Linked DNA regions of Lonchura striata. The main gene of each other region encodes a partner of the protein of the gene in region 2 in a complex. Links are inferred from orthologs where the notes say so. Each region holds a gene or a part of one and is shown on either strand. Other genes may lie near its edges. The genes, in order: EDNRB, EDN1 and EDNRA.

Region 1 (10,099 bases), on a different chromosome or scaffold from region 2:
AGGAAGTAGCTTTGGAGAGTTCCTCTTGAAACAAGAATACTCCATTTCCTGGAGATAAAAAATAGATTGCTGTTAGGAGCTAAGAAGTCCACTTCTGGGAATGGTGGCTTGATCTAAGAGCAACTATATGACCAGGCTTCTAGAGCATCTACAAAATGTTATTGTAGATCTGTAAACTCAGAAATAAGCAGGATAATGCTCTGTTAAGGGGTGAAAGTGGATTGACTGTACCAAATTCACACTAGTGTCAGCTGGGTACCAGAGTTCTGGTCTCCTCAGTCCAAAACAGATACAGAGTGGCTGGAAAGACAGCAGTAAAGAGACACAAAAATTATGACCTTCACAAGTCTTTTCCAACCTCAACCCTTACGTGAATCTGATGGTAGTGTACGTGGCTACCAAACCTACTCAACTGAAGTACCAAAGACAGCAGGAGAAAATGTCACACGAAACCACAGTGATTTAGAAATCAAAATGGATTTCAGAAAAACAGAGCAAAACAACTCCCATGCACATGGGAGAAAAAAAAGACGACAAACTAAGAGAAAAGTCCATCATGTAGCAACAGAGTGTTCTGTCTTTTATGGGGGACTTTGAGGTTGCAATACCTGTAGGGGTTATGTTAAAGGATTATTTTAATAGTGACCATACACCTAAACAAAAGGACCCTCTTAGGTCTTTCAGCCCAGATTCCCCAGTCTGTTAAAATAATATGATATACTTTTGTAAGGGAAGGAAAGTTTTTGAACCCAGGAAATCTTGGTACGATCAACAAAAAGTCAGATCTTAAGGCTCCTTCCAGAGGCCACCTTCTACAAATAAAACAGCATCTGGAGATAGAATTCCTGTATTACCTTGGCTGACAGCATACAATCTTCTAGCACTAAGTATAGATCTGTGTAAAACAAGATATTAACAATGAGCTTTTGCCATATAAAAGGAGAAGACATTACTCCATTACAACATTTTTAAATGCTAGAAGGTAGATTTTGTTGCAAAATGCACAAGGTAACAATAACACATGCCTGTTTTCAATATATTAAGGGCTGTGTTTGTTAACGTCCTGAGAAGACGTGCATCTCTAGTAAATACAGAATGTCTACATAGAATACAAATCCTTCTGCAACACTTTGGGAAATGTAATTAAAGTAGTCATGTCATCAAACAGCCACATTGATTTGAAAGAGAGTGGTTTCAATTAATTAGATCTGGGCCTCTCAAACACCTCCTGCCAAAAATGTGGTTTCCAGTAGAACCAGCAGTGTTAGGAACTTCCAAAAGAGAATAGCCAGCAGGTTGCTGACCTGCAGAAGTCAGTGCCCTAATGTTCTCTGAATTGAGAGCTGATGACTACAAAGATCTTTCCATGGCCAACACCCAAAACTGAGAAAATGTTCAAGCACTATTTTCATTCTCAATCCAACATTTGTTTAAAATAAAAGTGAGGAGCTTCTTCAAAAGTCTGATCAGTAAGGACCTACTTACACACATGAGATCTTTTTATGTCCTATAAGAGAAAATCTTAGAGTCCAAGGTCATGACATAAATTGTAGAAAGACTTTTCAAGCTCTCTGAGCATTTGAGTAGCTTCCAGTCAACCACATAAACAGTACTTCTACCTCTTTGGTATATGGCATCTAAACATTATCTCTTGCTTATTTCCCTAAGTCTGTCACTCGTCTTAGAAATGGAAGTGTCTTCCTCTCCAATGCAAGCAGAGGATCCCAGGGACTATTTTATTTGTTAGGAATTGCAGCCACGTTACTCCCTGGAAGGAACCCCAGTGCATTTTGGCAAGAACCAGCTTTCATCACCACTTAGGCCTGTCCCTACAGTAATAGATTTGATTTTGTAGCTAGGTGGAACCATCCTGTGCGGAGTCAAGCATGACGTAAACAAGAAGCCTGTGGACGGCCAGCTCTATGGCACATGAAATCTCTCTTTTAATTCACAGCATGGATTTCCTTATTCTGAGGATTCTTAACTGAATTATTTTATTGGTGTGCAGCTTATCAGTACATATTAAAGTGAGAATGTGGTGGCAGATTTTCTCTCTCCAGATGAACACAGTGTTTGTATTACATAGCCACACTTGCAAAAAAAGCATGGATAAATGAATAACAGCAACTCTTGCTGAAGTCAGGCATTTTGTCTGGATATGAATTTAATCCAGATTTGAAAATCTTGCCTGGAGTAATCTTTGTGTGCAACATAAACAATGTATGGCCAGTTATCATCTCCCCTGTATAAATGCATACATACCTTACACAGCAGCTGAAACATGCAGTTTTTTTTGACAACTGATCTTATCTAGGCTTCCTGGGCAATTCTGATTCAAACTTCTGTTACAGCTGGATTTTAAAAGTAAACTTGTTCACCTTTATTCTATTGAAGTATCCTGGGGAAAAAACAAACATGCAAAAAAGGTTTCAATAATTTCCATAAAATTCAGAAATGCAATTCTTTCAAACATGCAGCTACTTCCCCAAACCCATTTCGGTAACTTTTCCCTTAATAGACAATAATTCAGTGTGCTTTATACCTCAGATTAATTACATGTTGCTATATCAGTTTCAGAACTGTAATTTACCTTGTGATTTCTTTTGCTGCCGCTGAATAGGAAGAATGAGGGGAATAAATGTAATAAGTGACATATTGGTTTTAATTTTAGAGTTAGATGTGAAGAAAAATTTCAGTTATCAACCAGTCTGACTCAAAGGCTTGAACTTAATTCCATTTAAAAATTCCCCAAACTCTTATTAAAAAGACTATAAAAAACAAATGCTTTCTTCTCAGTACAAATTTTATTCCCTTTCATTGTTTTGATCTTGCAATGTAATCTACATTAAAACAGGTATCTGTATCCAAACAATGTTTCATTGGTGCTATCTACTGGTAATGTTTTATTGTAACTTTTTATGATAATATTTGTTTCATTATTTCAAGAATTAAGTGTATGTCAATACAGTGCAATTGATGGCCAACACTATTATTTATCAAAGTTGCTTAGCTTTGTAGAAAAAGACAAAGTATAGCTACACATCATACTAAAAAGAATTCCATATTTTTGTGTAAATTTAGACTAAGGAAAAAAAATGAGACAGATAATGTCTAGTACATGAACATATGCAATTACAAATCTGCATTTTTAAAATTATATCTTAATATCTCAATTTCTCAAAGTACTTTTATTCTTTCAAAATTGCCATTGGTAATGTTTCTATAGTAACTTCTGCAACACAGAGGACTATTTTCTGACTTTAATTGAACTCATGCATCTAATGAGTGGCTCACACTGAGACAGCTATTCTTTCTATTCATCCCAGACTTGACCCAGTTAGTGGGCAAATTTCCACCAGACTCAATAAAAAGAAAAGCAGGCCTGATGAGGCAGACTTCTGAGGCTGCTTTAGTTGCTGAACAACATAAACAGAAAGTTAATGGGATTTGCAAAAGTACCTGCAAACTCATAACAAAATTCTCATTGATTCAATAAAGTATTATATGAATTAAAACATCCAATCCTCCAATGTGTCTCATAAGCTTATTAATTGAAGGACTTTTTGATGTCATAATTGTAACCACTTCTTGTGATTTATATTGCATGTAACATAACAGTCTTTAAAGTCTTTCTGTTGTTAAGAATCATCCCAGTGATGATTACAAGTTATCCAGTCTTTTTACTTTGTAAATGGTAGTCCAAATTACAAAAACAAAAAAAGTTTGAACATTATCAGTCATTGATGGAAGTATTGCATCAGACTTATAATTAAAATAGTGACTGGCTAATTCATATAATTGTTAATATCTGGTGTGATGAAATGGAGTGGAAGTGCAGAATACAATAAAATTAGTAACAGGCATTCTGGAGGATCAGATTTTCCTGAACTTTCCATAGGACAAGGAGTATTTCTGCTATCTAGAAAAAAAGAACCAAAAACAGCCAGACACGTTAGCAGCAGCTTACATAATCTTATATAATGTATTACATACAGTTCAGTAAGGAATTTCTTTCATTGCTTAATTAGCAGAGGCCACTTAGAGGGCAAAAGTCTATTATATTTACAGATGTTTTTTCTTGTTGCAATCTAAATTAGCCTTGTTAGTTGATCTTCATTCAAATTACAGTTAATTTGCCAAGATATCTGATATGGTCTTGGTATTTAATACAGTACTATCTTAATCCTCACATAAATATATGCAAATCTGTGTTTTCCTTTAATTTTCATTAATTAAAGCATTTATTCCACAGCATATGCTGGGTTTTATTCCTCAAATATCTGAAAAAAATACTAGAAACATAAAAGGGTGGCAAATTCAGCTAGTTGCAGCCAGAAGCAGCTTAGATGCTTTGTCACATGGACTCATTTTGTGCAACATTAAAGAGTAATGTTCTTCAGGTATCAGCATCTGCCCAAAGTTCTGTATATACTATGTTTGTGTATACTAACATTAAACATTTTAGAAATTAAATTGCTGTTACTAAAACTTCTGGAGCTGGAGTAAGTGACAGCAATGGAGATGCCACTAGTAGCAAACATCTTATGGAGTTGTGATAATAAAAATGTTAGCAAATATATCTCACTGTATTGACAATATATTTCTTGATTGTCTGGAACAGCATAGAAGCTTTTGAGACTTATCTGGAACCTTGCAACTAAAAAAGCATTTTGAGATGAAAGCTAATGCTGTGTTAATTGGCAAGAGTTTCTAAATCAATATTGCATTTAGCAAAACATAGTTCACTTATGGATTGCTGAATTGGAAATTGAGGAAATGCAAACTTGAAAACTGAAAAGACTGTTTAAATCCCCAGGGCTCAGAATATAATATTGAATTCAATGTTCATACTTTTATCTTTGGGCTAGGAATCAACCATGGTGTATAAAAATGAATCATGTTGCACAACACAGTCTTGAAAAGCGTGAACTTGGAAAGATCAACCTTCTAGCTGGAGTGCAATCAGCTTCCAAGTACCCTTGCACAGTTTAGAAGGGACTTTAATGGCTTTATTCCACAAATACTCTAATTTAAAATGGAAAGAAAAATTACTGTGACATAAAAGAGGAAATTGATCAAGAATGATTGAATGGGAAAGCTGTTTAATAGAAAAGTCTTTTAAACAAAGATGGAGGTGTGAATAGTAGCGCAAGGGTATGTTAGCAGGAGATGCTGGAAAATATTAGATAAATCAGATCACCAATTTTTGAAAAAAAGCATGTGGTTTTGAGTGTTTTCCTATATAGGTTTGTCAATAATGTAGGTGAGCATGTTGCTTCTGTAACTAAGCATGTATATATTCAAGATTTAGCATCCAGAATGATTTAAGAAAAAAGAACATCAGGGAGATGTACAGAGAAATACTGAAAAACAGTTTTAAATTCAACTCTAGACATGCAATTGTGTCCACCTTGCAGAGGCTCTTCTTAGTCTCCACAAAATCCTGTACAAATCTCCTTCCTCCTTTCCTTACGTTTCACCGAAGCGTGCAACGACTGGAAAGAGCTCGCTGAGATAGACGCCTTGCTAAGGCTGCCCAAACCGAACTGCAATTTCAGGGCAGTCAAAATGCTATTTCTGATGTAAGAAAGGTTTTGTGAAGCGCTTTAAAACGTGGCAGTAAACTCGTAGACGTTGTCAGGCAGCTTCTTCAGCGTGTGCGCCCCTCGGGCTGTGCAAGGGGGTTTCTGCAGCGGGGAAAATCCCGTACCCAGCTGCTGGGAGTGAGCCTCGGATAGGACAGAGGGGAAGTGCTCTCTTTTTCCCAACTGTCCTCCAGCAATGCCCATAACTCTTGTAACAACCCTCCTGAAAAATTGTTTCAAAGCCCGAAAAGTCTGCTTCTTTAGGCTGCCAAGTCAGCCTGGTACAAGACAAGGGGGAGGTGGCAGGGCATTTCGGCCCGGGGGGAACTCCCGACAGCGGTGATGGGAGGCTCCGCGGGGCCGGCGGGCGGGGGGCTGGGCCGGGCTGCGCTGGGGGCGGAGGACGCGGGTGGGGTCTGGCTGTGACTGATGGGCCAGATGCGGTTGAATGTTTTAGAAAAGGGGGGGCCCTGCGCCGCCGGCACGACTTTGGCCGCGGGGTCGGGTGTGCGGCTGACGGACACCGGGCTCTGCCGCCAGCGCCGGTCCCCGCCGCCTTCCCGAGCGGAGCGCCCATCGCTGGCGAGCGGCGGCAGCCGGGCCCGGGCGGGGACACGCAGCCGGGGCGCGGCGACAGCCAGCGGAGCGCGTTTGCCTTGCCTGGCCGGCGGGCGGCGAGGATCGGCTCGGCTCCGCTCGGCTCGGTGAGCGGGAGACGCGCGGGGCGACGGCGAGCAGGTCCGGCCGTCGGGGCTGCTGGCTACGGCCGCCGCCGCGCAGCTTTCAGCCCCGGCGCTGCTGTGCCGGCCGAGCCGCCCGCAGCGCCAGCACCGCCCGAGGACACGCAGCGCCGCGGCCCGGCCCCGGGGCAGCGAGCGGCGGGCGCGGTGTCCCCGCAGCTGACGCCCTGTCTGTGCTCTCTCTCCGCGCAGGTCGGCGCCGACGGCGGCAATCTGCCGTGCCGCGCAGCCATGCCCGCCCTCCTCCTCCTCCTGCTGCTCCTCAGCTGCCGCGCCGCCGCCGAGGACGACGGCTCCCTGCTCCGGCCGGGCCCGGGCAGGCAGAGCGCGGCCGCCGCGCCCCCGACGGCCGCGACCCCCGCGCTGCGCGGCGCCGAGCACAACGCGTCCCGCCCGGCCGCGCTGCCCCAGGGCGCGGCGCCGGCCGGAGGGCGGCCGCGCTCCGCCTCGCCCCCCATGTGCACGGGGCAGACGGAGATCAAAGAGACTTTCAAGTACATCAACACGGTCGTGTCCTGCCTGGTCTTCGTCCTGGGCATCATCGGCAATTCCACGCTGCTGCGGATCATCTACAAGAACAAGTGCATGAGGAACGGCCCCAACATTCTCATCGCCAGCTTGGCCCTGGGCGACCTGCTCCATATCATTATCGACATCCCCATCAATGTCTACAAGGTGAGGAGGGGCCGAGGATGGATTCGGGAGCGGGCGTGGGGGTGCGGCGGTCACCCTTCGGTGCTCCCTGCCGGTGCCCGCAGATGCCCGTCCCCGCCGCAGGGAGACGCGTCCCTTCCTGCCTGGGAGACACCCGTGAGTTCGCCTCACGACAAAACCCTGCCGGAGGGTGGTATTCTGGTCAGATGTGGCCGCAGATGGCACCCTCTCTATGCCTCATCCCGTCCCTCTCAGTCTTCCAGGCTGGGAATGGGGCAGAATGGAGGTGGCCAAGCTCTGAAAATCACCTGGAAACAGGTGCTGTCGCAGGGATAAATGAAGTAAATGCAATAAATGTTCCGTGGGCTGGTCGAGGAATGGAGGGGAGGCACAGAAAACCCTCTCCTGTGGGTACCACTTGGTCGCTTGTGCTCAGCTGCGGCAGGCTTGGTCATGATACTTTACATGGGTCTGTGCAGTCCCTTTTGGCGTGGGGGCTTTTCTAGGAGGAGCCAAGATCGTTCAGCTAGCGGTTTTATACATCTCTTGGTTGGGAGGCACGATGCTTTCCTGAGCTGTGAACCCTTTCACCCTTTGCCAGTGTTCCAGCCTGGGCAGCGTGAGAGGGAATGAGCCACACCTGCACCCCTCACACCTTCAGTAGTCTGTACTTTGACTTGATAGGACTTGCCATAGAGGGGAGATAACCCTTGTCTTCTCTACCCAGCTTGTGCCATCCATTTGTCCTAAGGAATTAACTGAGCAGTTGAATTTAGGCTCTAGTTGTAATCTAGCACTCTTTGAAGAAATACTGGAAATAATAGAGCTCCTTCTGCTTTCAATGTTTATAGTCCTGATCCTTGAGCACCCATCAGTGACTTCATAAAGTGAACAGAAGAGTCTTCATCTATCATCTCCTTTTCACTTTGTATGCACGATTCTAAACTAGGGTCTGTTACTTGTACTTTTAGAAAGCCATGTTGAAGGGACAGATTTTGAATCTATAATAGTTATCCCAGAAGCTGCTGAGATGAGAGAATATTCTCTATTCTTTTAAAGTATTACAAAGCAGGGAATGTCATCATTGTGTTAAATTCATGATCCAGTTAATTTGGATTACATGATTGTTCTCAGATTTGAAGTTTTAGTGGTTTTTATACTATACGCTCTCTTAATTCTTGTGAGAGGAGTGTACTCTTTTGAATGAAGGTGGAATTTGGAAAACAAAATAACTACTTTAAAAACATGGTTTTGTAAAAAAGTACATTGAACAAAAATATTATTTCCATCTGTTCTCAGAAAAATCAAAAAGATTAAGTAAAAAACAGCTGTATGAGACTTTGTAATGTCAGTGATAATTTCAAAGTTAATGTTAATATGTGATAATATTCCTCAGTTCTTATCTTGATTGAATGTCACCAAGGGTATCATTATGCGTAGGCTGGAGCCTACTCATAGGCTTTTTTCCTTGTAGGATGAATAAAGGGTCAGATTACTAACCAATAAATATTGCACCAGCTGCAAGTCTAGTATTTTTATTGTGTTATTGATAATGCTAGGAGCTATGCAATACTCTCAGGTGCTAAATCTCCCTCACTGCTAATCATCTTACTGAAGAACCCACAATCACTTTATATGATCCCTTATAATAATGAGTGAAATATTTTCTATTTTAAGACAGAATTTTTGAATAAAGGCAAGTTTAAAAAAACAAGGAAAAAACACCTATATTTATTTAATCAAATTTTGAGGGCAGTTTGAGTTGATAACTTTTTATCAACTCTACATCCCATTTCATTCCAGAGCAACAGGGAGAATACATACAGTAATGCAATAAAAAAACTGGCTTTGATCACTCAGCAGTACGAGAAGCAAAGGCTCCCTCAGTAAATCAAGTATACTTAGCAATTGTAACTTGCAGTTTGAAACAATTTAAGACTGCATGAAACAGATCCAGATTCAGAATTTGTTACCACATCATCAGTGAGGCAGCTGCATGAAACAGTGTGAGAGAATTTCGTATGTTAATAAAATGCCAGCACTTGCCCTAGAAAGTGGGAAAGTGTCCGTGAATGCTTTCCAGACAGACCCGTAGGAGACAATTCAAACCCTGCACTAGAAGAAGCTTTTTATTAGGTATTAAAAAGGATAACTGCAAAAGATGTCCCCTGTGACTATTTAAGTGAATATAAGTAGCTGAAAAAGTGCACAAAGGAAAATTGACATCTCCTAAACCAAGGGTATCTAAAGAAAAACAGGTGTTACCTGGATAGGGAGGATAATGCAGTCCAATGCATAGGATGCTAATTAGTCCACTGCATTCCTAATATGTCACACAGTCAGGAAACTGGCTATGAAATAAGGGCTTGAAGAGCATTCAGTTCCAGCATGTAGAACCTGGCAGATATTTTTGGCTTTCTGGGTCCTGGGCCCTGTCTGGGTAAATGGTCTGGCTTTGCCTGGATGTTTGAGCTGCAGAATGGAAAGCAGAGCAAAGTCTGAGACAGTCATTCTGCAGTATGTAATGTTTTGGCAGTGTAGAAACTTTGCAAAATTGCTACTAATTGGATGTGCAGGTGATCCTATGCTGCTCCACTGAACAGAATAAGTCCTTGTTAATTTGAGGCTGCAAACAGCAGTTAAGGAGCAGAAGGATGGAGTAGATGGTCAGTGAGCTTTTTGTGTCCTTCTCTGCACTTAAACTTTGGAAGCCAAGACAGTGGCAGCTTGTGCAGCTGCAGTCCTGGACAGATTATGCTGACTTTCCCAAGTCTAAGGCACCAAAACATCAGGACTTGAAATTCTAAACTTACACTAGCTTTGCCTCTCATAGGCTTAAAAAACCATAATCACATCACATACTAACATGCTTTCTCTTCTGGTACACAAACAACATCTCTCTCTTATTTTGTAATATTTGTTCCTGTATATTTAATCAAATTTATTGTCATATCCCAGTGGACTTTTAACAAGGGGAGCAATCTAGGCTCTGAACATTATTGTGGGGTTTTCCAAACTCTGACTACCAAGAAATGTCTGAAGAAAAGTATCTACCTGGCAATATTGTCATAGGTTCCTTGTTCTCAGAGCGAAATGGAAGAGTGCAGAAAAATATTAAAG
Region 2 (10,114 bases):
ACAAACCTCTAGGTACTGGAAAGGCTGACAATGTAGCAGGCAGGATACAGGCCATGGGTTTGAGGAACTCAACTCATTTCTCCACTCCCTCATCAATTTCTGAGGGGCCTCTGGACCAGTCAGCAACTTGGATTAATCCCAAGCTATCTCTAGACATTAAGAAGAGGATAGTGCCTAAATTTAGGACAGTCAGCACCTTAGGACCTTTTCCATACTCCAGAGGACAATTCAGACACCAGGTGAACCAAGATGTTAATCTGGTTTAGAAACCATATCTGCTGTCTGATGGCATAAGTACTGTCCTCCATGCTTCAACTCCCAGCTCTGGACACAGGGACAGCATCACTGATTTTTTGACAAGGCCACGGGAAAGTGACTATTATTAAAGAACATGAAACTCTGAAATGCCCAATTGAAAGGAGAGCAGTATCAGTTAGAACAACTGCTCTTAGTGTTTTTCTTCAGAAGATTTTCTAATTGCAAGCATGGGCTTTGAGTTCCTTGCAAGCCAGACTTGCCAAGAAGTGAGTAAACAAACCTGATAAAGCACATTTTCTTCTAACAGTTATTTGCAAATAAGTGTTCTGTCATATGCTGCTGTATTCACATAAGAGGTTGTATACAAAACCAGATCTGGTTTTCTGGTTAGTATTTTCCTTTCCTTTGCTAGAGCCTTCTATTGCAGTCCTTCCACTAATCTCTTGTACTTAATGATGTTAATCTTTATGTAGTTAAACTCTTACTTGCGTAACTCTTTCCTAAGAGTCTGATTATATATACATGTAACCTCTTACCATCTTTTCACACTTTTAGAAGACATAGTTCATGCTGTCTGTATTTTGAACTCGAGTTATGGAAAGGAGCTGAAGATATATTTCTTTTTTTCTAAAGAAAACTCAGGAGTCCAAGCATATCTATGAGAATATATCATAGTCTTGTGGAATCAATCCAGCATTTTGTGTCTGACATGGCTGAAGGTGGATGTGTCTGCAAGAGACCAGGCATAAGACAGAGAGATCATTCTTTGGAGTATTTCCCACTCTAAAATTTTCTGGGCCAGAAGTAAGGTCTTTTTCTTTTAACTTCTACTAATGTTGAGAATAACATGAGAATTGGGTCAATTAAAAAAATAAATCCAAATTAAGCACCACCATACAAATTGCTTGTAGCACAAAGGGCTATGGATTTAATTCCTTTGGGGCCTCTGTGTGCAGGATCCTGAGCTACCACAGCAGAAATGATCACCCACCCAAGCCACCCTGACACCTCACATGACACGCCCTTGGCAGTACCAGGCACCTCTGTCACCTTCACACGGCCTGGGTGGGAGGGCTCAGGTCACCTGCCCATATTCCGCCCACAGAGCGGAACCTTTTGCCATGCTCCTGGGATTCTGTTTGCTTGCTGCCCCTGCACAAGCAGATGCAGGGTGAAAGATGGAAACAGGAGGAACTGCTACAGCTTGCTGGGACAGGGGGCAGCCAAGTGCCACCAGTGCCACTGTGCTTCACTTCAGTGGGAAGTGGACACTCTTTCTCCTACAATATCATGGCAGAGATAGACACTGAAGTAAGGGAGAAGTTCCTGTTAACTCTCACCCAAAAGTTATATGGATTCTTTATTCCCAGGCTATTTAAGCCTTTCCCTTTTCCCCCCTGATGTTTCCCTCATTTTAAAGATGACTTTACTTCCAGGGAAATATTTTCCTGTTGTTTACAGTCCTTTGTTGTGGAAAGTATAAGTAGGAGGAAGGTTTCACAACAGGTTTCATCCTCTGAAACCTGAATCTCTGCAAACCATCTTACTTTTTTTTCTGACAATAACAATTTTAGCCCTGGGAGAAACTGTGAACTTTGCTCAGTAAAATTCAGCTTTAAGTGGAGTTTGATTTTTGTATTTTAAATGGTATTTAGTCATTGCCACATGATGTCAGGAAGTGCATGGTCTGGACGTGCTTTCTGATATAGGCTTTCCTCCATCAAGGGTCATATAGCTGCAACTTTCCTCCCTAGCTTAAATGCAATTTTGTATGTGGAGTGAAGTTTGGAAAGAAAATTATCATTGGTGGTATTGGATATGGTCCATTTGGGCCACATATTACTAACATGTAGGGCTGAGGTTGCTGGATCACTGGCTGTCCTTATTCCTCTCCTCATCACTTTAACAAGTCCACAGGTATATTGTGAGACAGGCACCCATGCTAAACCTCACTAACTGGAGATGGGGACAATGAAGAAAGTTGGTTTGCAAGAAAATAGACTTCTGCCTAAGGACTCTCACAGCTGTAAGGAGAATCAAATACATTATAGAGCTGGGTAGTGACAGATAAGGTAATTTTCAAGAGCTCAAATTATCATGGAATCCTAGAATGGTTTGGGTTGGACGAGACCTTTAAGATCATTCATTCCAAGCCCTCTCCCACTAGACCAGTTTGCTCAATCCCCATCCAATCTGGCCTTCAACACTTCCAGAGATGGGCATCCACAGTTTCCCTGAGTAATCTGTTACAGTGCCTTACCACCCACACAGTAAAGAATTTCTTCCTATTCTAAACCCACCCTCTTTTCAGCGTACAGCTATTCCCCTTGTTTAATCTCTATATGCCCTTGTAAAAAGTCCTTCTCCAGCTTTTTGCCCCCCTTGAGATATTGAAGGGCTGTTCTAAGGACTCCCTGAAACCTTCTCTTCTTCAGGCTGAAGAACTCTCTCAGCCTGTCTTCACAGGAGAGGTGCTCCAGCCCTCTGAGCATTTTCATGGCCTCCTCTGTATTTGCTCCAACAAGTCCGTGTCCTTCCTGTGCTAGGGATCCCAGAGCTGGATGCAGCATTCCAGGTGAGGTCTCACCAGAGCAGAGTAGGGGGGCAGAATCACCTCCCTGGACCAGCTGCCCACACTGCTTTTCATGCAGCCCAGAATACAGTTGAATTTAGGGGCTGGAAGCATATGTTGCCAGCTCACATGAAGATTCTTATCCACCAAAACCCCCAGTCATAGAATCACAGAAAGACAGAATATGCTGAGCTGGAAAAGACCCATCAGGATCATTGAGTCCAACTCCTGGCCCTGCACGGGACACACCAAGAATCACACTGTGTGCCTGAAAGCATTGTCCAAATGCTTCTTGAACCCTGTCAGGCTTGGTCCTGTGACCACTTCCCTGGGGAGCCTGTTCCAGTGCCTAACCACCCTCTGGATGAAAAAAATCCCAAGTCCTTCTCCTCAGTGCTGCTCTGAATCCATTAATCTCTCAGCATGTATCTGGGCTTGGGATTGCCATGACCCCTGTACAGGATCTTATGCTTGGCCTGTCTGAACTTCCTGAGGTTTGCATGGACCCACCTCCCAAGCCTGTCCAGGTCCCTTCTGCATGGCATAGCCAACTCTTTGACTTTCATGTTGTGTAAAAAATTTGTGTCTGGTATAAAAAGGGGTACAGGCAGATGGGACAGCCCCTAAGTGGAAAGTAAGGCGAAAGAGGGGCAGTGAGGAAAGTAAGGGGACGAGTTACGCAACTTTCACTTAATTGAGAATAGTGTTTCAAATCTGCAGAAAGCAGCATGTTGCTCCCCTTGTTCCCTAGACAGAAAGGCACAGTTCTACAGTCTCCTTTTATTGTTTTGCTGATAAGCAGGCATTTCTTTCTGACACTAAACAAAATGTCCTTTAGAAAAGTCGTGCCATGGCCTTTTCCAGCTGGAACATTACAACCACAGCCTGGCTGGTCAGCTGAGTTTCTGCTCCTTAACACAATGTCTCAGAGGTGGCTGCCCAAGGTGCTTCAGCTAGAAAGGGACAAAGCCTGATGCAGGAGCAGCCAGCTTCAGCTCCTGTTCCACCCCTTGTCCACATGGGCAGCAGTGCAAATAATGGTGCAAACTTCCCAGCTCTTGGGGCGATCTGGCTTGGTGTGTACTGGGACGACTCATGTAGTACCTGACTTTGTGTTTCCATCCTGCAAACACTGACTGCTACCCAAAGCTTGGTCCTCTTCAGCTGATATTATAAGGCCCCTATTGTGACTCCTATTGTTGGACTCCTCCTTTAAACAGCTTTAAAGTGGGAAAATTTTCCTTTTTTAATTCCCAAAGGGGATTTCTGTGTAGCACAAAGCTGATCCTGGTACCTCCCAGTATCCAAGCAAAGGTCAGGATTACCCCTTCCTGGGGAAACCCACCTCCAGGCCTGGCAATCCCGGCGGCCTGAAATGACCTAGCTGGGCCACTGCTAACAAATGGAACATAAGTTTGTTTTTGCATTACTCAAGCAACGGGAATAGCTTGATTCTGGTTAGTCTCAAGATCTGAAAGTGAAGCTAACAAAAATTGCTGAATCAGAGGAAATGGATCTCTGACAACAATAATATTTATGATTTCTTATTAAAAATTGCTGAAGATGTTTTTGTTAATAAAAGAAAAGTAGAAAAGAACACCATCTTCAGAAGTGCCTGCAATATGTTTGTTCCTTGTTACTCAGAGGAAGCATACATGCTGTTTTTGCCAGCTAACAAAATACTTTCTAACAAGGTATTCTGACAAGGCTGAAAATATCTTACACCAATGTGAGTCATTTTGGCTCCAAGTGCACATCTTAGAAAAAGGAATCTCAGGAAAAAAAATCTAAATAAGCACTGGCATGAAAGATGGTCTTTAAGTGCCAGGCCTGGAAAGGCTATGCATATTTGTATTAAATACAGAACGATTGCTATCTTTCAACCCACACAACTGCTTCATGTTTTTTCCTTTTCCCTTTTTTTTATTTTTTAATTTTTTTTTTTATTTTATTGTTAGTGTCAAGAAAGAAAAAAGAGTCACTAAGTTTCTTCCCTAACTTTTGGACACTGATAAAGTTCATTACTTCAGAGGGCTGTGATTACTTTTTGTATGTAGCTGTGTGACCCCTGCTGGCAGATTCTTATCATGACTGCAGCAATTCAAACACACATGTACGGATACATTGGCGTTCTGGGAAGTCCTGCCCTACATACACAAAGAGACATAATACACAAAACAATATGATCCCTGCTCTGGAAAATAAACTCCCACGCTGGAAAGTTGTGAAAAAAAATTTGTATAACCTAGCTTTCTCCACTCACAGATGTTTTACAGGGCAGTTTTTAGAATACCTTTGATAAATAGATATGACCATCTCAGGATGGGGCCACTGGTGTTTATTCGGCATAATGGTCTAAATGTTCATTATTGCTTGGAAAGCCCCTACACTTCATCCTGTTAGAAGCAGGGAGGTTACACCGAGGAAAGGATTAGTCTCCACTTGCATTCCATTCTTGTACTCCTTCTCATACCATCTGCTAACATCCATTGTGGCAGAGAGGATACCAGCTAAATGGACCTTTATTCTGACTCAGCACGGCTGCAGACAGTCTGTCCGCTATGATACAGGGGCACAGTATAATCTGAGACTTTAAAAAACTGGCCATTCACCTGCCAGACCACAATGGAACTTGCACTTAACAATCCCACTCTTTGTGATATCCAAGGTCATCTCTATTATTACAGCACAGTGCACGGAAATACCACAAATACCAAGAGAGTCTTATCTATTTATCATAGGTGAAACTGGCACGCTTCGCAGCGCGACGGCTCCACGGCGGATCACAGGCATTTTGAGTTCACTTAATTAAGTTTATAGTCAGGGGCTGGCTCCCTCGGTTGGGACCTCAGTGGATTCCATGCATATCTCTATCTGCGATGGCCCTGCTGCAGCCACTCCTCAAGCGTCCAGCTTCCACACTGACTCTGCTCTTTGACAGAAGGCTGAATACACACGAATATGCCAGGAAAAAGACTTTGCCAGAATTAGTGGTGAGAGCCAAAGGCGAAGAGTAGGCACAGATCTTCCCTCCTTCCCTCCCTACCTGGCTTTACACACCTGCTCACACCCAAAACATGCTACGTTTAGCACCTCGCCCTACCACGGCAGAAAAGGGAGATAGGTTATACCCCAATGAGCCACCGCTGCTGCCAAGCTCCTGAGACCCCAGAGCCCACCTGGTAGGGTCTGAGGGGAGCAGGGCAGGGTCCAGCGCAGGCAGGCATCCATCATCCCGCATAAGGGACCCCCGTGTCCCACTGCTGAGTTCTCCCCAAGGCAGGAGCAGCAGGTGGAGCCCAGAGCCTCGAGTCCTGGAGCCCTGGAGCCTTGAATCGGTGAACCTTGAAGCCCCGCAGCCCTGAGTCTTGAACCCCTGAATCTCCGGATCTCGGGATCCCCGAATTCCCGAATCCCGGAGCCCAGAGCCGCCCTCAGGTGCGACGCGCGGGCAGGGCGCCCCCTGGCGGCCCCCTGGCGCCCCTCCCCGCCCCCGGGGCGCCCCCGGCCCCCTCCCGCCGCCGCCGCCCCCCGCTCTTGAAGTTTGCAGGCGATTTCCTTTCCAGCCCCGGCCTTATCTCGGCCCGCACGTTGCCGCGCGGTGACTAATAGGAGAATAACATTGTCTCGGGATAAAATAGCGCCGGGGCTGTTTACCCGCTCCATGGGGGTTCGCTATAAAAGGGCGCCGGGGACCGCCGCGCCAGCCAGACGCGCCGGGGCGCACCGAGCCGCGCCACGCAGGGCACCCGCCACGGCGCTCCGTCCCCACGCCGGGAGACACTTTATCCGCTTTTCTCTCGCCTTTTATTAATTTTTACCCCGTTTCCCCTCACTTCTTCCATCCGCCCTCCGCCGCCTGCTATGGATTATTGCCACATGATCGTCTCGCTGCTCTTCGTGCTCTGCCCGGGGCTGCTGCCGGCAGGTAGGTGCCGGTCCGCTGCCGCTCGCCTTCGCCCGGGGCCGGCCCCGCGGGGGCTGCGGGGTCGCAGCCGGGCTCCGGGGAGGGCTGCCCGAGGGATGCAGCGGGAGGGGATGCGCGGGTGCCTTGCCTTGCCTTGCCTTGCCTTGCCGCGGGTGCTGAGCTCTGCCGCTCCCTCCCGCAGCCCCCGGAGCCGAAGCGGACGCCGCGCCGCCCCCCGCCGCCGCGCACCGCCGCGCCCGGCGCTGCTCCTGCTCCTCGCTGATGGACGAGGAGTGCGTCTACTTCTGCCACCTCGACATCATCTGGATCAACACCCCCGAGTGAGTGGAGTGGAGGGGTTTCAGCAGTTCCCCGGTGCCGGGTTCCCCTTTGGTTAGGAAGAAAGAGAGGGAGGTGTGAAGGCGAAAATTAAGAACCACAACCCCCCTGCAGAGATGGGAAGGGGAGGAAGAAATAGTTGTTTGCACAGTTTCTCCTACTGCTTTACTTTCCTGCTCCTACTTTTCTAACACACTTAGCAACGAGACTGCACCAGAAGAAAGCGAGCAGGATTTGGCCACACAGATCGGGCAGATAGCTCCTAATAGCCCTAGCACACCTGCCTACCTAAAATCTGGGCAGCGGTATTTCCTTTGGGCGCTGCTCAGCAAAGGCTGAAGGATACTTTTCACTATGAATCAGAATCAGACAAAATGCCAAAGGCTTGATTTTGCCAGCCTGCATTTGAGCAGTTTTCTTTCTGACAAGGAATATTTTGACACCGGGTGGCTCTAGCTGCCTTTCACTGCTCTCTGCTGCAAATTAATGCATCCCACGTGTTAATAGGATTATGCACAGTATCCATTTCTGTACTCTCCTCACCAAAAAGTAGTGAGCCAGAGGCTCACCTAAGGCTGCAAACACTTGACTAGTGATTTCTTCTGCTGCTGGGTTTCCTCTGAGAGAATCTGTTCTTCACTTTCACTGCTTCTTTCAGTGTTGGCAGTAGCCAAAGTTCAAAGAGATGAGGTTTTATTGCTTTCTATTGCATAGGGAGGCACAACAGCCTTGTGAAATCACAATTAAAAGGTCATTATCCTTGTCAGTAGCCATGCTAATGAATATGTTGCAGGATCATCAGAGGCATTTGCATGGAAACTGTGACTAATGAGGCATTCCCAATCCCACAGCCTTTACTCGTGCAATCAATGTTGTTGATAAGATTGCCCAAAATACCCCACAGTGTTTTGAAGGCACAGAATTATTTAAATGACTTTCATGTTGTCTCTTTGATCATAGGAAGACTGTTCCATATGGTCTGGGAGGCCCTTCTCGACCCAGAAGATCACTGAAGGACATGGTGCCGGAGATGCTCACTGAACCAAGCAGCAGATGCCAATGTGCCAACCAGAAAGACAAGAAATGTCTGAACTTCTGCCAGGCAGGCAAAGATCTCTGGTGCGTCTCTTGTTGCTACTCTTTAAAAGGCAATGCATGTGAAAGGGATGGATTGTGGTGCACTTACTCATTTTGGCACTTGCTGAGCGAATACTCTCCCCAAAGCCTTGCCTCCTACCCGAGTGCTCATACTTTTATGATCCATACTATGGCTTGGCCCAGAAAGATTGCTTATTACATGCCTTGAGAAGTGGTTGATGAGATGCCTCACCTTGCAGACTGCAGACTTGGCTTTTTTTAACAGCAGAACCTTTTCCCTTTTAACAGGGCTCAGTCCACAGTGGAGAAAACCTCACGGCACCGCATCAAAGCCGGCAATTGCTTTGGACCCAAATGCATAAACCAACAGCTTGTTGACAGCAAGAAAATGAAGCGGTGAGTTTCTTCTCATCCTGTTGTAGTTCCCTAGAGCAGCAATAGAGAGCACAGTTCACCTGCCTTCGGGTCATCCTGAGCTTAGCTGGTGGTTTCAGCTTGAGAGTTATGGAGGAATCAGTGAGGATATTTTGGGGCTTTTCTTCATGCTCTGGGTTTCTAGCTTGTGAGGACACAGGCGCTGAGCTAAGCACCCATCTGTCCTCTGCTTGCATCCAGTGCTCAGCCATATTCCCATGGAAAAGTATGGAATACAGAAGTTTGCCTGTACTAAAGAAGATTCTTTAGTGCTCCTTTCACAAACAGAACAGGACTTATGGGAGCAGGCAACCTGATGATATTGAATGAGACTTAGGGCCTGGAAGTCTTAAATAATTTTTTGAAAGTGGAGCTTGCTTACTTGAAAAATGCACCTATTCATTGGAAGTAGGATCAGGTTTACCTAAAAGAAACAGCACAGATGAAACATAAAAGAAACACTGGAGACCTCCTGACTGGTTACTTAAAGAAGTCTAGGGCATCTATGTTTGAGTGAATATTTTAATTTAATGTTTGTATTGAAATTATGAATACAACATTTCAAGTATCTTAAGTTATCCTAATTCTGAGTTATAGCGAACAGCAGGTTATTAGGATCCCATGGTAGAAATCTAGACTGAGGTTTATTTAAGCAAAAACTAAGTTCTTTCACACTGGAGATGCATCTTCATTATCACAATATTAAATGTACATTTCCTGATTTTTCAGGCTGGAAGCCATTGGTAACAGCATCAAAGCTTCCTTCAGTATCGCAAAACTGAAGGCTGAGCTCCAGAAAGGGCGAAAGCTCAAACACAACAGGGCGAACAAAAGGCAAAGCGTCCGGGAAAGCCTGAAAGCATCCTAGTGGTGAGATCACCTGAATCTTTCTCCACAACGCTTGCTGACAAAGCATCGCGAAAACTCTGTCTTGACTCCAACATTCCATGATGGCAAAGGCCCCCTCTGTCCAAGTGTCTGCACAGTGGAGCAAAGTGCTAAAGAAGTCCTGTATTTGGAGATATACTGACAAAGGATTTTATCATCTTGGAATTCAGGTGGATGGGTAGAAGGGCTGAAGGGAAATCTGCAGTAACATACAAGAAAAGCCATCTGTCTGAAGAAACATTTGAATACTGCTTCTGGAATGTTACCCATCGATTGAGCAGCTTTTGGGGTCTACATCAAAAGCATCTCGCAAGGAAGACCTCACAGATGTGCTTAGCAAGGACAGAAAGCAAGATCTGAGTGTATAAACTTCAAAGAACACTACCTTTTGATTAAAATGCAAAAATGAAAGCCACAGTTCTACTTTAATCAGGACTGACTGCATATATACATGTCTACCTCGCGTACTGTTTGTTGCACTCCTGCTAGAGTATTTTTACACCTTGTTATTGCCTTTACTAATCAGCTGCAACCCTTTGCCTTTTTTCAGAAGTATAGTTTACTTGTACAACCAGAGTTATCTGAATGTGGGTTAGGCACTCTGATTGTTTGCATAGTCAAAGTCCTTTGGCTTTGGA
Region 3 (9,418 bases), on a different chromosome or scaffold from region 2:
ACTCAGCTTTAGTTACACTAACAAAAAATTAGATAATGTAGAAACATTAGAAAGAAGTGAGATGAGTCAGGGTTTTCCATGAAAAACAGCTTCACTGCAGAGTAGCCAATAGAAATAATTTTAACCTTATTTAGATTAAGATAAAATGGCATTCCAATATCTCACTATCTTATCTAGATAATTTTATTAGTGCTTAAAATAATAAAAGATGCATCTGGCAGCAGAACAGCATTCCTCTATCACAGAATTTGTGTTCTGCACAGGCTCACATCTGCAAATGCAGATTGACACTTTTGTAAATTATGGAAGATTTTCTAATCTAAGACATTCTCTTCCTCTTGCTGTTCTTTAAATCAAAATTTAATTTATATCTGGTTTTCCTTCCTTCTGTTTTGTTTTTCTTTTGTGTGCTTTTAATCACTCATTGCACAATTTCACTTATTGCATGATTACATAACAGGCATCTTCTGTGACATTTTGCTATTTTATTCTTCCTCATGTATATATATTTTGCTGCATACTGAGGGGCTCATGTAGAAATATTTTTATCTGTCATCATTGAAGACTGGTGTTTTTGGAGCAGATTCCTTAGCTCCCAGCTAGTTTCAGGGTTGCCTGAAGCAATGGGGATGAAGATCCCCAGATGCTCCCTACAATCACTCATTTTGCTGTCTTGGCCTCAAAAGTGAAGAAGAAAATAATTTCTTAACTTTATAGAACTAATATTTAAAAAGTACAACCTTTATGAAATATTTTAGTTACAATCACCCATTATCCCATTATCCTTTTGGACAGTATCCAACTTGCCACAGGACAATAGCTTACAAGCACTCTTTTTTTTTTTTTGTGTGTGTGTGTGTGTGTGTGTGTGTGTGTGTAGTTCATGCTCAATTTAACACCACCTCAGTTCCCAATACAAACAACATAACTTGAAGAATTTTGAACACCATAATTCCAGAGCTCAAGTCAAAGTACTCTTGACATAATGGAAGTCTCACCTGAATCATAGATTTGCAGACTTTTGAGATTAGAAGAGACCCTTAGAAATCATCTGGCCCATGACCCTGCTCAGAGCCCAGGCACCCAAAATTGTGTCCAGCTGAGGTTTGAATATCTTAAAGGATGGAGATTCTCCAGCATCTCTTGTCTCCCTGTGCCACTGTTTAATGATCCTTAAAGTGAAAGTGGGTTTTCCTGTATTCAAATTTAATTTATTGTATTTCAAGAATGCATTTCTTGTGTCCTTTGCCTCCTCTTCTGTCACTGAGCTACAGGGAGAAGAGTCTGGTTCTCTGTTCTTTACTGCCTGCCAACAAATAGATTGATAAGATCCAGACCTTGAAAATTAGGGTTTCCATCTATGGAAATGAAGACCAAACAGCATTACCTCTCCCAGTACATCTTTTCTGAAATGTTCTTAGTCCATCACATTTAACACAGTAGGTAAATGCTCCCAGGGGAATCTGAAATGCTCAGCGATTGAAGGGAATTAACAACACATATTATTACTTCCCCAATCTGCACACTAAAGGCCCAGGAAGCTCACTTCTTATTCAAACTATTCCATCAAGATTCTGCAAAATTTAGATACACCCAATCCACAGTTCCTGACTAATATTCCCTTTTGGGGTACAGTAACTCCTGCAGTAGTTCCTGTATTAATTGTTTGGATCCATGGTCAATTTTGTCCTTTAAACTTCAATCCTTTATCCCTTTTGATTCTTTTACAGCTTCAGGTTCCCATAGTCCAAGGACAGGAACATTTCAGTGGTTCTAATACAAGCACCTTCCTACTTATAAGAAAAAGCTAATACAATAGTATTCTCACTATAATTCTCTTTGAATTATAAATTCCTATTGTAAATTGCCAACATTTTCTATTGACATGAAGGTAACAAATGAGAGACAGAGAAAGGGGGAAGATGGAAGGAGGAAAGAAGAGGGCAAGAAGGGAGGGGGGAGCAAGACAGCCTTGCCAGAAACAGGATTTATTTGTGCTAAGCCCATAAATAGAGCTACAGATGCGGCATTAGTAAAGATACAATTTAAATAAATTATCTGCTGGGAAACAGAAATGTTATGCAACAGAAGCAAAAAACTGGTTCACTGATCACTGGAATTAATAAGCCCTGAGTTTCAGTGAATTTAGATTTTCTAGAGGGTGCCCTTTTTAACTGAATTCTTCTAAAGCAGCTGCATAGGTGCATCTTTTGTGGAAGAACAGGTAATCTACACAAGATAGAAATATTCTCTATGGTTTGCATGATTCTTCTTTTTGTTCAGTGAGGTGCAACTTCTGATTGAACTGTGGTAATAAAAGTTGAGAAACCTGCACAACAAGTGTTCTTGAAATTAGCATGATTCCATGAGAAAGTTTTTGATTTGCTGAGTTCTTGTTCACTAGATCAAGGTATTAAATTCAAAGTGAAACAGTTATCCAGTATTGTAACCAAAGTATTTAGGTGTATTTTTCCAAATTTTCCAAATGGCTTCTATTTTCAATTGTTTGTATTGTTTCTGATAAAAACTGTATCAGAAACCTAGTGAAAGAATTCAGGATAATTAGATATTTTCAACCTTCGTCATTAATAATTTCTGATTTTCTGAGTATGAGAGATCAAAAACACACCAGTTGACTGCTTATGGAAATGCAATTATAGACAATAAATGCCTGGTTTTGATCTTGGTCTTTTGAATCTCAGCAATTTGATTTAGGACTCCACAACCTGATGATCATATGTTTCTATTTCATACCAAATCTGGGGAGGTAAGTGGCTTAACAGGTAATACATTTGCTTAGAACACCTTTCAATCCAATAAAATGAAAGTCTTTCATTCTAATACCTGCAGGCTTCATTGAAATCAATTGCTTTACAAAAGCTGATATTTGCGAATAGTCTTCTTGACTCCAGCTGCAAATCCAATTGGATTTTTTTCCTAATGAGATTGATACATTGCCCCTACTCTGAATCTCCAGAGTTATGCAGGACAAGATAAGCAGTTTGTTGAAGACACAAAACAGAAGAGGTCAGAGGAAACACTTTCACTGTGCTGAAACTGGTACAGAATCCTCAGTCAAGAGCTCTTCCCCACATAGGCCAGCAGTCCTACAATGATGGTGAAAGTGTCTCTAAAAGATGAAAATATCTTGGCATAAAGAACTGCATTTTATCACTTTTCCCAGTAGCTGGTGTCAGCTGCATTTGCAACTACAGTTTTTGCATAATTTCTGTGTGAAAACTTCCTCTTCCATGTTACTTTCCTGAACCATAAAAGCAAGAATCACTAAATATAATTTTTGAATTTATCTTAGTTTAAGACAGATATAAACTGAGCTTTAGACACCTAGAAGATTAAAGACAGAACAAAGGTTCATTTAAAAAATCATCAACAGTAAAAATAACAAAAAAACATGGATCAGTAATTTCTAATAGCTAATACTATAATGTGGGTTGGCAGTAAAAGAAGCAGTTATAAAGGCTGTCTAGAAATATATCTTTAACAGAATAGTAAATTCGATATTTTCATTATATTTATTTCATGTAATAGTAAATATAGTGATGTAAATAATCATGTTATTATGAATTGGAATAACAAATACGTGTTTGAATGAGATCAGAAATAAACTTTTTGCTTTGTTTTGTTTTGTTTTGCTTTTTTTTCCTTTTTGTTACAGCTCTAATTGTTTAGACATAAAGGTCAAATCCCAGGAAGGGAATTGGGTCTTAACAATGTTTAGAAAAGACACAAGATATTTAAGAGTTGCATCAATAAAGCACTCCATAAAGTTCACATGCTCTTCAATAACAGCCTTTCCAGCTCTTCAATGTTTTTTTTCCAACAACTTACCACGAAGATGATTCTTGACCAAGCAAATCATTAAAACTAAGCATCTATTACCAAATTGTAGAGACTTTTTTCATAGTATATGGATAATTTAGTGGCTTATTAACTTTTATTGAACTTCACAGCAACCTGAGATTTTGAATTAAACTTTCTACCTGATTTGCAAACAGTAGGCTCCTTGTGATTCTCAGCTGAACATGTATGTTCCTTCATAGATCCTGTGCTTTGACACTTCATTTAACTGAGATGACTTTCTAGAAGTAATAAAATACTGCTAATCCAGTCCACCCAGTTGCTGGTTTTTCCTGTTCAAGATTCATCAGATTATTTCAAACATATTACAGAAGCATACTTTTAACTATGCAAAACTGAAAAAGTTAAAAAAAATTCCTACATTATTTAGTGCCAGATATTTTAACTTTTCAGGCCACAAGCATCACATTTTTTATTGTTCTTTCCAGTTTGCTTTTGCAGTTTTAGGACGACATATTTTTACATCTTATTTAGGAAGGTTGCCTTTTTTTATTCAGAAGAAGCCAATATATGTTTAGAAAATAATTTCTGTGGTACAACCAGATGAAAACTTACCAGGAAATGAGAAACCTGAAACGATTCAACAAAGGACTCAAAATTTCACAAACTTGCTAGCATGAAAGAAGGGATTTTGAAACTGTTTCCTGTACAAGCTGCTGCCTCTGATACGCATTTTTTTTCTCACTGTGAGAACATATCATTAGGTATAAGTGAACTTCCCACTTTTTCTGCACAGATTTTTTTGCACCTCTTTCTTGGTAGAAGAACAGTAATAGGAAACATAGGAATGACAGAAAATGCCTCACCCTTATTATCCTTGTAAATGCAACTAAAATATATTAGCAAGACATATCCTGGATGGATCAAAGAAATTTTCACTCAGGAGCCGTTTCTGCTTACGGATCCAGCATTTTTGAAACTCTCTCACACACAATTTTATTGATTGTTTCAGAGACTGATCCCGGCCAGCCCCGGGGCAAATGCATAGCAAAAGAGGTTTATTTAATCAGATTTCCCGTGGAAATCTGATTTTGCTCATGGATCGGTTTTTGCTCATGGATCTTCTGCTGTCTGGTGAGATCGGGCAAAGACCTTGCTGAGAATCCTGCGTGCCACTAGCAGGCAGCTACAGCAGTGGGTCCCGGGGCTGTGGTTCAGCTGAGTGCAGCGCGGCAGCCGTGCTCGGCTTCAGCGAGGGAAGGAAGGAGTTAAGGAGCTCCGTGTTCCCCTGTGCCCGGGAGGCAGCCTTTGTGTCTAACATTGGCGGGGGCTCCGTTCGGGCTGGAGGCTTGTTTTAATTGGGGGAGGGGGCAGTGAAGAGGGGACGCTCCGACCTCTTCAGTCTGTCTCTTTCGTTCACTGATTCTGCGGAGGTGGGGATTTTCAATTCCACCCAGTCAGACGCAGGCAGGAGGATTTGGTAAGACTATCCCAGGAAAAGCCACTCCGAAGGAATTCTCCGAGGCGGCGGCGGCGGCGGCAGCCCCAGCATGAGGGTGAGGCGGGCGGGGAGGCGGCGGGGGGAAATGCGCGGGATGCTGCGGGAGCACATCGCCGTCCCACGCCGGGAACAGCCCGGCCCGGGCCGCGGGCACCTTCCGCGCCGCTGGAAACGCCCCGGACAGCGATTCGGTGCCGGTGGTGCACCTCTGTGTGCGGGTGTGAGCGTGTGAGAGAGAGGAAGGGAGAGACAACAAGAGACGGGCATAAGGCAGCTTGGGGGAACTGTTATTCCATAAAGTTTAACAATGTATGGATCTTGCCGGAGGCTCTCTATATAGGCTGCAGGGCGGGCAGCCCTGGCTTGCCCGTGCATATTGGGATTGATCCTTCGCTGGTGAAGCCAGGATCCTTCTCGCCTCGGAGAAGGAGCAGCGGGCGGCTTCCCCTGGGAACAGCCCAGAGAATCCCCCTTGCCGGCGTTGTTCCCTTCAGCGCCTTCCTGCCCTGCTCCGCTTCATCCGCTCCTGTTCACATCGCAGCTGCCTTACACTCAACAAGCACCGCCAGCGTTTTAGCTGGTCTTTGGAACAATTTCATTTCCACTAGTGCGGTCTCTTGCGAACCTCGGCATGGGAATTTTTCAGGCTTGATACTCCAGGCAAGTCAGGAATTTAGTCCCCTGCATCCGCGGCTGCTTCAGCAGCACTGCAGGAGCACACGCACAGCACGGGCGGGTGGCTCCCACATTAACAGAGCACCTCACACCCTCCAGGTACCCAGGCTGCTTGTGTGAAGGACAATCCTAAATTACCTTATCACAGAAAGTTATCAGGGATGCCAGCGTGTTACTCATACGAGGCAGGCTGTATGTTATATTCTGCAGCAAGATAAATACTGTAAAAATATGCACAAAGGAATGAAGAGCTGTCAGGAATCTATAAAAAAGTACCCTCAGTAGTTAGCCTATTAAAAACTGTCTAGTTTTTCTTATCGGGGAAAAAAAAAAGTTTCTTCCGGGAGAGGGAAGAGATGGTAATTGGAAATTTTGTTGCCAGCTTTGCAATGCTGGCAGCATGACTGCCATGCTGCCACAATGTTTATATGATATATACATCAAATTTTCACAAAAAGGGTCACAAAGTAAGGAGGAAACTAATATAACTACTAAAACATAGGGTTTGTGGGTTCTGTTCATATCTTTATCGCATATACTTGGAAAAGCCATTTAATACTGATACATATTTCCCATTTGTAAATTGAGGAACCGTAGTTATAGAAAACAATACAAGTATTAATCTTTGCCTGAAAATAATTACAGTCAAACATCTCTGTTATTTGTGGTAAGATTTCGAAACCTAAAGTGAACACACTTGCACCATGCTACTGCTAAGTGCTCTGAGATACCATCCTAACCAGCATTTAATTTAATTAAATAAAGAAGGACTTACTATTTAGTATGTTTAACTTTGAAATTAAGTCCATAGGAACTTGTAGTTGGCCATTTCCTGATCTCAAATACACCAGTAAAAGGATTGAAAGGTCTGTGAGGGACAGCACTCTGCATGCCAGACAGGAATAATCAGGTTAGCATTGCTGCTCTACAGATGTACTCACACACTTCCACAGACCACATACAACAGGAGCCTGCAGTACTAGTAAATATTTATACTCTGACTGCTCCAGAAGTACTATCAGTAAATTTTCTCCCTCCTTTTCTGGTAAATGTCTTGCTATAAACTCTGACTTAACAGCTCCACAGGGAATTAAATTAGGATTCATTTATTTAAAAGGATCCTCCCAAATACTTCAGGCGAGTCCCTGGAAATCAGAAAGTTATAAATACTTTATTTTCTACTCTTCCTTTGTCAACACTGCAGCACTTTGTCTTGTTTTGCAGACATAAGCCATGTTAAAAAAAAAAATCTCCATCTTAAATTAAACCAAGACTTCAGGAAAATGGACTTAAATGGCATCCTTAGATTCACTGGAGGTTTGGTATCTACAAACCCTGTGGCAGCAGTTACACACAGGCAGTCACACTTATTAAGGCAAGATTCTATGCTGCTTTCTTCCCTACCTGGAAATGTCATGAGTTGTTGCTTAGAATATTAAATAAATTATCTTTTATCCTTAAAGAGCTTCATTTTTTATTATTAACATCACCGTGCCTAAGTACTCAGCATGAGTTGCAATTATATTCAGGACCAAATGAGAAAGTTTGAAGGTATTTTCTTGGCCAGAGGTCTATCCTAGGACTATAAAATCTTCCTCCTGATAATTAGGGTATTTGGATCTGGTCCAGATTTTGATTTGAAATACATGCCTTTTCAGTTTTCATTTGAAATCCAGGTAATAAGTCAGACAAAAATAATATAAAGTATAATTGTTGCGGTACCTCAAAAAATACTCAGAAAATTGATGAATTTACTACCTTGACTTTTTAATGTAGTGCTTTTACCTTTAATTTCAAAGAAAAAATAAAAAGTTCTTATTTTAGCTAAAATACCATTCAGCAGTCTCCAAGTGAGGTCTACTTTTCCTGCAAGACTATATATTTAAACAGAATTTCATCCACCTTATTTTTTCCATCCTTGTACAAATTCTGTCTCAAGTTAACAGGGTTTTGTGGGGTCTTATTTGCATAAGCTATCACTTACTAAAAGGAATTTTTTGTGTTCATCTCTTGTCAGACAGGTAATGGGGGTAATCTAGATTTCAGAGTAGCACAGTGAGTATAAACAGGTGTTTATACGTGTGTGCTGCAGAGGTTGAACATTCAGATACCTTCCCTAAGTCAAAAACTGGATGTGACAGACTACCTGTTCTACTGATTATGTGGGTTTTTTCTTTTCTTTTTTTGCTTACGGTTTCTCTCCGCAGGTGAAAAAGTGAGAAGTATCTCACTGAAATACTGAAGAAAAAAGCATCTCGCTGAATTTGCTCACTGGGGACTTCAGGATGGAAGCCTTGTGTTTAAGAGTTTCCTTGCTGCTGCTGCTCCCAGGGTTTGTCCTCAGTGACAGCTCTGACAGAGACGTTTCCAATCAGAGCGACTCTGGAAATCCCCTTTCCACCTTCTCAGGGATGGAATCCAGCGTTCTCCTCACCACCATGCAGCCCCCGGTGTCCAACCAAACTGTCAAATGTTCCCAGCAGACTAAAATTGCTGAAACTTTCAAATACATTAACACCGTGGTATCCTGTGCTATTTTCATCATTGGGATGGTTGGGAATGCAACTTTGCTGAGGATCATTTACCAGAACAAGTGCATGAGAAACGGCCCGAACGCACTGATAGCCAGCCTGGCACTGGGAGACCTTATCTACATTGTCATTGACATCCCCATCATCGTGTACAAGGTAGGAGGACATCCATCCCAACTGCAGTTCCTTACAAGTTCCCTGGCTGTTCTCTGTGCTTCCTCTATTTAGTGCTCTTTTGTCAATGAATAGTGCAATTAAGGAAACAATACAACTCCTTTTTGTTCGGCAACAAACCCCTTGCTCTCAGGTCTCACCTCCATCAAGAAAAAGTGTATCTCCCATTAAAGGTGATATAGATCTTAGCTCCTAACCAAAGTGTGGCCTTGGGCATTCCACAGGAGCTCTTCATTTCTCATAGCTGCTACAGCTAGCAAAAGAATTTATGAGGGAAGGCTTTTTAGAAACTGTTCTCCTCCTTGATGAACTAGCATGCTATTTTTATATTATCCAATCCTTACTTCATATTTTTACAGAAAATACTCCCTGTGATATGTGGGCTTCATATTATGATTTTGAAGGCAGAGATTACATCAGTAAAGTTGAGCCTTAATGTTTTCATTTAATATTTATTAATAGCAGAGTCTCAAAATTATTCCATTTATATCACAGATCATTTCTGAAATATTAAATTTCATCTGGATTGGTCAAAGTGTAAAAAGGCTCCTCAGCAATTCTTTTATCTGGTATAAAGTTATCTTGTCCCAGTGTTTTGATTTTCGAATTTAATTAAACAAAGCCATAAAGCAGTGCTTTTTCTGATGCAATTTATGTTTACTAATAGAATTCAAGCCAGAACATGCTTGGATGAACAGAACTGAGCCCTTTTTTAATA

What was found.
Region 1: the proteins of EDN1 (region 2) and EDNRB are in contact, whole or in part, in a cryo-EM structure (PDB 8XWP), measured with the Homo sapiens proteins. The link is inferred for Lonchura striata from reciprocal best matches to the Homo sapiens genes EDN1 and EDNRB. Residues at the interface, in NP_001403492.1 of Homo sapiens: Cys53, Ser54, Cys55, Ser56, Ser57, Leu58, Glu62, Cys63, Val64, Tyr65, Phe66, Cys67, His68, Leu69, Asp70, Ile71, Ile72, Trp73; in NP_000106.1 of Homo sapiens: Pro88, Pro89, Ile94, Glu95, Ile157, Asn158, Lys161, Glu165, Asp166, Trp167, Val177, Pro178, Gln181, Lys182, Val185, Phe240, Ile243, Met245, Tyr247, Leu252, Ile254, Leu256, Leu257, His258, Pro259, Lys270, Lys273, Leu277, Trp336, Leu339.
Region 3: the proteins of EDN1 (region 2) and EDNRA are in contact, whole or in part, in a cryo-EM structure (PDB 8HCQ), measured with the Homo sapiens proteins. The link is inferred for Lonchura striata from reciprocal best matches to the Homo sapiens genes EDN1 and EDNRA. Residues at the interface, in NP_001403492.1 of Homo sapiens: Cys53, Ser54, Leu58, Asp60, Lys61, Glu62, Cys63, Val64, Tyr65, Phe66, Cys67, His68, Leu69, Asp70, Ile71, Ile72, Trp73; in NP_001948.1 of Homo sapiens: Tyr68, Gln72, Thr73, Lys74, Tyr129, Asp133, Ile136, Asn137, Lys140, Leu141, Gly144, Arg145, Trp146, Gln165, Lys166, Val169, Glu220, Phe224, Val227, Phe229, Tyr231, His236, Lys237, Thr238, Cys239, Met240, Leu241, Asn242, Gln252, Lys255.

What each region holds. Positions count from the first base shown.
Region 1 is NC_134604.1:48,593,578-48,603,676, forward strand, and holds the start of EDNRB (endothelin receptor type B), read left to right. Parts: upstream 1-6,248; 5' UTR 6,249-6,289; intron 6,290-6,517; 5' UTR 6,518-6,556; coding exon 6,557-7,000; intron 7,001-10,099. UniProt on the Homo sapiens protein: Non-specific receptor for endothelin 1, 2, and 3. Mediates its action by association with G proteins that activate a phosphatidylinositol-calcium second messenger system.
Region 2 is NC_134603.1:91,208,669-91,218,782, reverse strand, and holds the start of EDN1 (endothelin-1), read left to right. Parts: upstream 1-6,468; 5' UTR 6,469-6,694; coding exon 6,695-6,758; intron 6,759-6,939; coding exon 6,940-7,078; intron 7,079-8,036; coding exon 8,037-8,195; intron 8,196-8,462; coding exon 8,463-8,570; intron 8,571-9,317; coding exon 9,318-9,456; 3' UTR 9,457-10,114. UniProt on the Homo sapiens protein: Endothelins are endothelium-derived vasoconstrictor peptides. Probable ligand for G-protein coupled receptors EDNRA and EDNRB which activates PTK2B, BCAR1, BCAR3 and, GTPases RAP1 and RHOA cascade in glomerular mesangial cells.
Region 3 is NC_134606.1:62,836,914-62,846,331, forward strand, and holds the start of EDNRA (endothelin-1 receptor), read left to right. Parts: upstream 1-5,164; 5' UTR 5,165-5,375; intron 5,376-8,202; 5' UTR 8,203-8,280; coding exon 8,281-8,682; intron 8,683-9,418. UniProt on the Homo sapiens protein: Receptor for endothelin-1. Mediates its action by association with G proteins that activate a phosphatidylinositol-calcium second messenger system. The rank order of binding affinities for ET-A is: ET1 > ET2 >> ET3.